Linked DNA regions of Mus musculus. The protein of the gene in region 2 purifies or fractionates together with the protein of the main gene of each other region. This does not show direct contact. Links are inferred from orthologs where the notes say so. Each region holds a gene or a part of one and is shown on either strand. Other genes may lie near its edges.

Evidence for each region.
Region 1: the proteins of Ksr2 (region 2) and Fkbp5 purify together in Homo sapiens (affinity purification with mass spectrometry; 3 studies listed by BioGRID and IntAct, with this or other methods). This does not show direct contact. The link is inferred for Mus musculus from reciprocal best matches to the Homo sapiens genes KSR2 and FKBP5.

What each region holds. Positions count from the first base shown.
Region 1 is NC_000083.6:28,483,350-28,487,467, forward strand, and holds the start of Fkbp5 (peptidyl-prolyl cis-trans isomerase FKBP5), read right to left. Parts: upstream 2,801-4,118; 5' UTR 2,603-2,800; intron 1-2,602. UniProt on the Homo sapiens protein: Immunophilin protein with PPIase and co-chaperone activities. Component of unligated steroid receptors heterocomplexes through interaction with heat-shock protein 90 (HSP90).
Region 2 is NC_000071.6:117,707,502-117,711,001, reverse strand, and holds part of Ksr2 (kinase suppressor of Ras 2), read right to left. Parts: intron 3,079-3,500; coding exon 2,711-3,078; intron 1-2,710. UniProt on the Homo sapiens protein: Location-regulated scaffold connecting MEK to RAF. Has very low protein kinase activity and can phosphorylate MAP2K1 at several Ser and Thr residues with very low efficiency (in vitro).

The DNA.
Region 1 (4,118 bases), on a different chromosome or scaffold from region 2:
AACTGAATCCCCTGTAGGAACTAACAACACAATACACATTCTTTTCCAATCCAAAAGTAAAGAAAATTCTCAAAATTAACTAACAACTCATCCCAAATTCTAGGCTTTTCATGTTTAAGTGATTTAAACTGTCTTTAAAAAGAAATGCTGGCTGGTGATATTGCTCAGCAGATAAAAGAACCTGCCAATAAACTAAGCCACCTGAATTTCAAGTCCAGGACTTACACAGGGCAAGAAGAAAACAAAACTCCAAAGTTGTCCTCTGACAACCACACCAGTGCCAAGTACTCTCACAAATGACAGATCGATCTATCACAGACGATAGATAGATGGATATAAAAACTAAAAAGTAAATAGAGAAACATCCTTTTGTGAAATGTTGGAATGACAAAAGCCCCCACTGATGAACTTTTGTTTTAAAACAACTTGCAGAAAATATTCCTAAATTAATTTTAAATGATCTCAAGTGGCTGGACAGTGGTGGCGCGTGCTTTTAATCCCAAGCACCGGGAGGCAGAGGCAGTTGGATCTCTGAGTTCGGAGGCCAGCCTGGTCTACAGAGTTCCATGACAGCCAGAGCTACACAGAGAAACCCTGTCTCAAAATCAATCAATCAATCAATCAATCTCAAGTGGTCCCAACTCATAGCTAGCTCAAACTAGCTAGATGAATAAAATGATTGTTCAATCAATTAGTGTAATTAAATAAAAACGAACTGTGCTCTGAAGTTCAACATTTCTGAAGTATAGATTACACCCAAGGCAGTTACCACACAAGACATATCAGAAGACAAAGGGGAAGAAAGCTAAAAACACTCAGTGCTGCTAACAAACCAGTGTCATTATTAACCTTTGCATTTAAAAATAGGTAAACCGGGCGTGGTGGGGCCCGCCTTTAATCCCAGCACTTGGGAGGCAGAGGCAGGCGGATTTCTGAGTTCGAGGCCAGCCTGGTCTAGTTCCAGAACAGCCAGGGCTACACAGAAAAACCCTGTCTCGAAAAATAAATAAATAAATAAATAAATAAATAAATATAGTTAAAATACACCATTTCTGTAGCACTCCAAAGCGAAAGCTGTGTGGAGAGTATTAGGTTACAGAAATTTATACGTGCTTTAATTGAATAGTAAACTCCCAATAACAAAGGAATAAAACTTTGATGTTTCAACTATCAAACAAAAAAAAAATACCCCCCCCAAAAAGTCAGGCAAATGAGGATCAGCTGGGAGAGTAACAGAAAACGGTTAAGTAAGATTTTTTTCCAAGTCATTTCTTGAATTGATTCAGACACCAAGAGGAAAAGCTATAATTTTTAACAACATATAAAGCTAACAGCAAGAAGTGGGGAGGAAAAGACAAAATGCTTAACCCAAACACACCTTAACTTTTCCCTTGTCCACAGCCCTAAGAAAATGGGATGACAATAGAAATAAACACTCTCTCCTTCCCCTAAAGGAAGCAAAGAAAGTGCCTATTCAACGCCCTGGTCCGCTGGAAAACACACTCCTGAAAGAAGAAGAAGGGAAAAAAAAAAAAAAAAAAATCCCCAAACCACCAGCTCCCAACTGCCGCATGCAGAATTTACTGAATGGCGGCCAAGCGCTGTACACCCTGTCCCGAGCCCCGCCGAGGGCTGTCCCAAGTTCTGCACGCTCTGCTTACGATCTGTACCTTCCAACGCTTTCGCCATGGCTGCAGACACCAATTATTTAAAAAATGAGGCGCAAGCGCTCCACCTGGCTCATCCACAGACGAAGATGAGGAGGAGGAAGATGGTCATAATGCAACGTGCTCCCTTAGATTCATCCCACACACACACACAAAATGCTGGGTTTGGAGTCAAGGACTATGGCCGGAACAGGAGTGGTGATGCCGCTGGGGCGAAGGGAATGAAGATTCCTAAAATAACTTTTATTTCCTTAGTATTATTGAGAGCGGGGGTGAGAGATGAGAATGTGTATCGGAGCCAGTGGTGTTTGTGCTGTGTACACAGGGAGGTCAGAGGACAACTCGCGGTTGGAGTCGGTTCCCCTACTACCATGTCGGTTCCCGGGATCGAACCCAGGTCGTCACGCTTGGCTGCAAGCGGCTGTACCCGCTCAGCCACCTCCGAGACAACTTTTAATTAGCCCTTCCTCCTCAGTACCTCCGAGACCCTCCGGTCACCTGCCTGCCCGGTGCGAGCCGGCTCGGGAGCGGCAGGTGAGGGCGGTGCCCGGCCGGCACGCCCATCGCGCGGCCCCGCGGACGCGGCGGAGCACTCCGTTATCCGCGGGGCTTGCAGGGCTCCGGAAGGCCAAGTTTCCTCCGCGTCCGGAGGGCGGCGTGGCGGAGCGACACGGGGCTCCCCGGACCTGTGGGCTGCGCGGGAAACAAAAGCCGCGCGCGGGCGAGCGAGCCGCCGCCGCCGCGCTGAGGGAGACGCTGGAGAAGAGCGCCGGCCGCTCCACCTCCCACGCGGGGCCCAGGCCTCCCGCGCGTCCCGTCCACGCCATCCCGGGGAAGCCGCGCGAGGGGCGGCAGAAGCGGGACCGCGAGCACGGGGCTGGCTCCGGGGTCCGCCGCGTGCGCGCGCCCCATTCCCGCGGCCATGGCGCCCGTACCTGTCGCCGCGTCCGCCGCCGCCGCGTCCCTCGCTCCGCGTCTCTCCGCCGCCGCGCGCGCCGCTCAGCCCGCCCAGCAGGCCGCCGCTCCGTCCGCACGCTCGGTCGCTCAGCCGCGCGCCGGACACCGCCGCCGGAGACTGGCAGCGCCCGCAAGCCGGCTAGTGCGCCGGGCAGCGCCCGCCGTCGTCCCGCCCCCGCCGGCCGCAGGACCCACCTCCCATAGGGCCACGGGGCTGCCAATCCGCCCCCAAAAGGCGCGCGGGCTGTCGCTCCGCCCGTCCCGATTGGTGGCCGTGCACTGCCTATGCAAATGAGGCTCCGCCCCGTTCGTTTGCATCTCCGCCTCTTCACCGCTGCCCACGTGTCTGGCCCTTGCCCTTTGTGGGGGCCGGAGAAGAGGGATGGAGGAAGCTGACTGACACCTCGCCTCGTCGTCCACTGCCTCCAGACTAAATACTGACCAGACAAGCGTCTGCCTTGCCTGTCTGTCCACCCAGCCTGCCCTTCACGAGCTGCAGAGGTCGGGCCATGCTGACCCCGGAAAATAACCTCCTGAACTTGAAGATGCTCCTTAGAGACTGGGAAAATGCGATGTAGCACCTAGCACCTCTCTCTCTGGACACCCAGTGGGCGTGAAGATGTCGCTTTCCCTTGAGGTTTCTGCCTCTCCAACACAGCAAGCAGCCCAGGTGATGAGGTCAAAAAGGAACCCAAAGGATGGCTGTTGAGCTAGGTCAGCTTCGAGATGGCACCCCCTCGCCACGTCTGGGTGACTCCTATAGACGCTCAGGAGCTGCACCTGGGGACTTGAACTCTAACTGTTCGGTTTTTAAGAAGATTCTTAGAAGAACGTTTATGATGAGTGTTTCGCCTGCTGGGTGTGTGTGTGTGTGTGTGTGTGTGTGTGTGTGTGTGTGTGTGTGTGTTTACTATGTGAGTGCAGTACCCAACAGAGGTCAGAAGAGGGCATCGAATCCCCTGTCACTGGAGTTGGAAGCATCCTGTGCTCTCCCAGCCTCTGGGAGAACAACCAGTGAGAGCAACTGCTCATAACAGCTAGGGAATCTCTCCAGACCCCCGGTTGGTTGGTTGGTTTGTTTGTTTGTTTGTTTGTTTTTTGAGGGGAGGAGAAACTATAAAAGTCCCAATTACCTATGGAATATTTTGTAGCCACAGGAAAATTCCATGTTTCCTGGTTCCATGTCTGCTTTTATTTTAGTTTTGGTTTTTTGTTTTGTTTTTTAAGATTTATTTATTTATTATTATATCTAAGTACACTGTAGCTATCTTCAGACACACCAGAAGAGGGCATCAGATCTCATTACAGATGGTTGTGAGCCACCATGTGTTTGCTGGGATTTGAACTCAGGACCTCTGGAAAAGCAGTCAGTGCTCTTACCCGCTGAGCCTTCTCTCCAGCCCCTAGTTTTGGTTTCTTTTGTCTTGTCTCACTTTAGAACTTATGAAGATACATGTCACCTTGTATGGTGATATATATCAATGTCCATATAAC
Region 2 (3,500 bases):
GACTAATCACCACCTTGGATGTCAATGGGGCAACTTACAGATGGTTCCAGATGATCTGGGTGGGCCCTAAACAGAACTGTCCCATCACATGGGAAGCCAAAGATGGTCTGACCAAAGCAGTTGATATAACCATAGAAACAAGGCTACTGGCCTTGAAATGGAAGAAGAAGCCAGAAGTCATGGTGGAAAAGGCAGTAAGCTGTGTCCCCTCTTACAGACCACACCTCCACCTCAGACCACGCCTTCATCCTAGACCACACCTTCACCTCAGACCACACCTCTACCCTACCACACCTCATTTCCGACCACACTTTTACATCAGTCTAGTGAGTCTCAAGGCCCTTCATAACTGTAAGAGACCCAGGGTGTGCTGCCTGATGCCACAGAGTTAGGGTAACTTGATAGGAACTGAACACAGCAGCCTCCAGGAATCTACATCTGAGAGGCCTTGCTCCCTCAGTGGATAGATGAGGTCCAGACAGAGTACTCTCAGAAAGCTGCTGCTGCTCCAAGCTGTTCCCAGCAGTGTCGCGGACAGCTCATTCCCAGAGATCCAAAGCGTTTTGTCAGAGTTGGGACACACACCTGCTTCAGCCCACTCATCCCACAGATGTAGAAACTGAGGCTCAGGAAACCCCACAGCTGGGCTGAAGGATGGAGGCTACTGTCAATCAAATCCTTCACTATTGGCCTTTCAATGCCGCTTGAAGTTTTCAACACGAGCAACTGTGCAGGCTGCTGGCTCTTTCGCAGTAATTCCATAATGACCCAATCGTAAAATAATTTAGCCATCCAGATTTGAATTGTCTGCAAGCTATAGTGACCGAATAACTAACTAGTTATTGTTCATTTCCTGAGAGCCAAGCATATGGCTTTTACAAGGAGACCCAAGCTCAGAAATACGTGTTAGCTCTGATGATAATTACTAAGTAGTTAGCTAGAACACACCATTGTCGATTTCTCTAGAATATGCCAGATAATTATCTGGTCTTATACTCCCTGTAAAAATAAAAACCAAGGTCCCAGAATTGTTCTAGTCAGTTGGCTATCCTCCAACAACCGATCCCCTAACAGTCAATCGTGTGAATGCAGATGATTAATCAAATTACTCAGCTATCTGGCCGCAAGCAGAAGTTCAGATGGATACTCTTAAGGACTAACAAGTAGACGGAGCTAAATGGGGCACTCACCGAGCTTTCCCATGATAAATCTGTAATACCGCAACAACCTTGGAATGAACACGTCTTTTTCAGGTTTCATCTGGCATCCTCACACAAAATACCAAATACTTCAGAGACCAATTAGATGTCCCAAAGCTGCCAGGGATGTTATTATTATCATCACCATCACCATCATCATTATTATTGTGGTGGTGGTGGCTGGGTGCTTTGTGAGATCTGTAGGTTGTTATGGCACGTGGGGAGGGGCGCTCAGAGTTCTGTCACAGAACAGAAGGCTGCAGTGCAGCTGGGCTTGAAGGGTGAGCAATACATTTTCATAATGGGCCACTCATTTTCGAAGGCTGCTAGCGGGGTCTGAACAAATGTGCAATGAGCCTCAGTTTGGAAAGAGGGAGGGGAGGGATGGGTCGCTGAGATTCATGGGTCACCGGACTTGTATACTGCAAGTGAGGGGCTCCTCACTTCTGGGAGAGGAGAAGTTGCTTCCTGATGAGAGGGAAGTGCAGAGTATGGAATGGGGGGGGTGGGCTTTCCATGAAGAGGGATGTAAAAATGACTATCTATGGTCCTCCCCCTACAGAGTCTGCCATTCAGAGAGCAACTTCCTCCATCACTTGAATCCAGCTGGCCACAGGAGATGCTCTGGCCAACGGATGTCAGCCAGAGCCTGACCAGAGGGTGCATGGAAAGTACCTATGCATTTAACCTTTGACCCCTGGCTGAGCTTGGGCACCAGAGGCCACCACGGGCGTGACTGAGCTGGAGACTGTGTGCAGCATAACTGAGTCACCCCGGCTGACAGTACCCACCAGCAGATGGGTGTTCATATGTCATCTATAGGAGTTCACATGTGAATGAAGGACAACGTTTTACATCAGATAGTCATCTGCCATTTTTTTAAAAGTCAATCTCTGTTAACTACCCTCCCCCACCCCATCCCCAAACCCCTGCAGCCCACTAATGCAGGATACTCAGAACAGTGGTGGCAATAGCTCCACAAACACTCTGTAAACCATCAAGAGCCACGATCACAGTCACCAGCATCTCAGATCAAACTGTGGGGCAGAGCTGGCCCACTACTTGGGTGTGTAAATAAAGTTTTATTGCAACACTGTCACGCAATATATCACATATATCATATGACCATATGGTCATATATATCATATATCATTTATGGCTGCTTTCCCCGTGCCCCCCGCCCCCACCTACCGACAATAGCAGAACTAACTGGCTGAGACCGAACCTGTGTGGCCTGTGAGGCCAATTCACACATAGCACTGGGAGTGCTACACAAACAGGCTGATCTATGTCTAAAGCAATTCACTCATTTTACCTAATGAGACACAAGTATCAATCATGCCTGGCTTTTCTGGCTCCCAATGCAGTACTCTTCCCAGCCATCCCTAAAACCCTAAAGGCATTTTCTGGGGACCTAAAGGATTGTGAGAAAACCGTGGATGGAGGACCCGAAGACACTATTAACATGCACAAAGCCCTTAGATGTTCCCATCGGAGCCCGAGGGACTGACCTGGTGATGATGGCCAAGTGGGGTGGGCTCATGCAGGCTCCCATGAAGAGCACCACGTTCTCGTGCCTCGTCTGCCTGTAGGCCATCACTTCCCGCTTGAAGGCCTTAAGCTGGTCCTCATTGTCCCTCTCTATGTCAATCAACCGGATGGCCACCTCGCCGTGCCAGCGTCCGTGGTAAACCTGCCCGAAGCGACCCTTCCCGATGAGCTCGCCAATCTCTAGCTGTTCAAACGGGATGTCCCACTCCTGAAGGAAGATGCTGGTCTGGCTGGCTTTGCGTGGGAAGCTCCGGGCTGAGAGGAGGGATAGGTTCATCTCTTCAAACTCGTCCTCGGACTCCTCTGCTTCATTGTGGCTCTCTTCGTTCTACGGCCAGAAGGGTGAAGGCTCAGAATCATGGCCACCCCAGCTCCACCCTCCCCAGGGATCTGTTTCGGCTGTAGAGATCAGGATATATTGCCATACACAGACACGGTAGATTCCCCAGGTGTCTTTGGATTAGAATCAAACCACAGTGAAGGTCTTAAAGGAACAGCAAGTGGTCCCACTGTCTTGTGCTAAGAGAGGAGAAAAGCTAAGGGCTCCAACCACTCTGGTTTGGCTAGACTTCGTAGTTTTCACACTGAAAGTGACACCTGTCAATCCTGGGCAAACTGGGCTGTTGGCTGCGCTAGGAGGTTCTCACTCTGGATCACAGCCAAGCAGAGGGACAGAGAATTCAGATCCAGGTTTCTGGATCGCTGCAATGCAATGCCCTCTTTATTCTACCTCTGTGAATCCACCCCAAT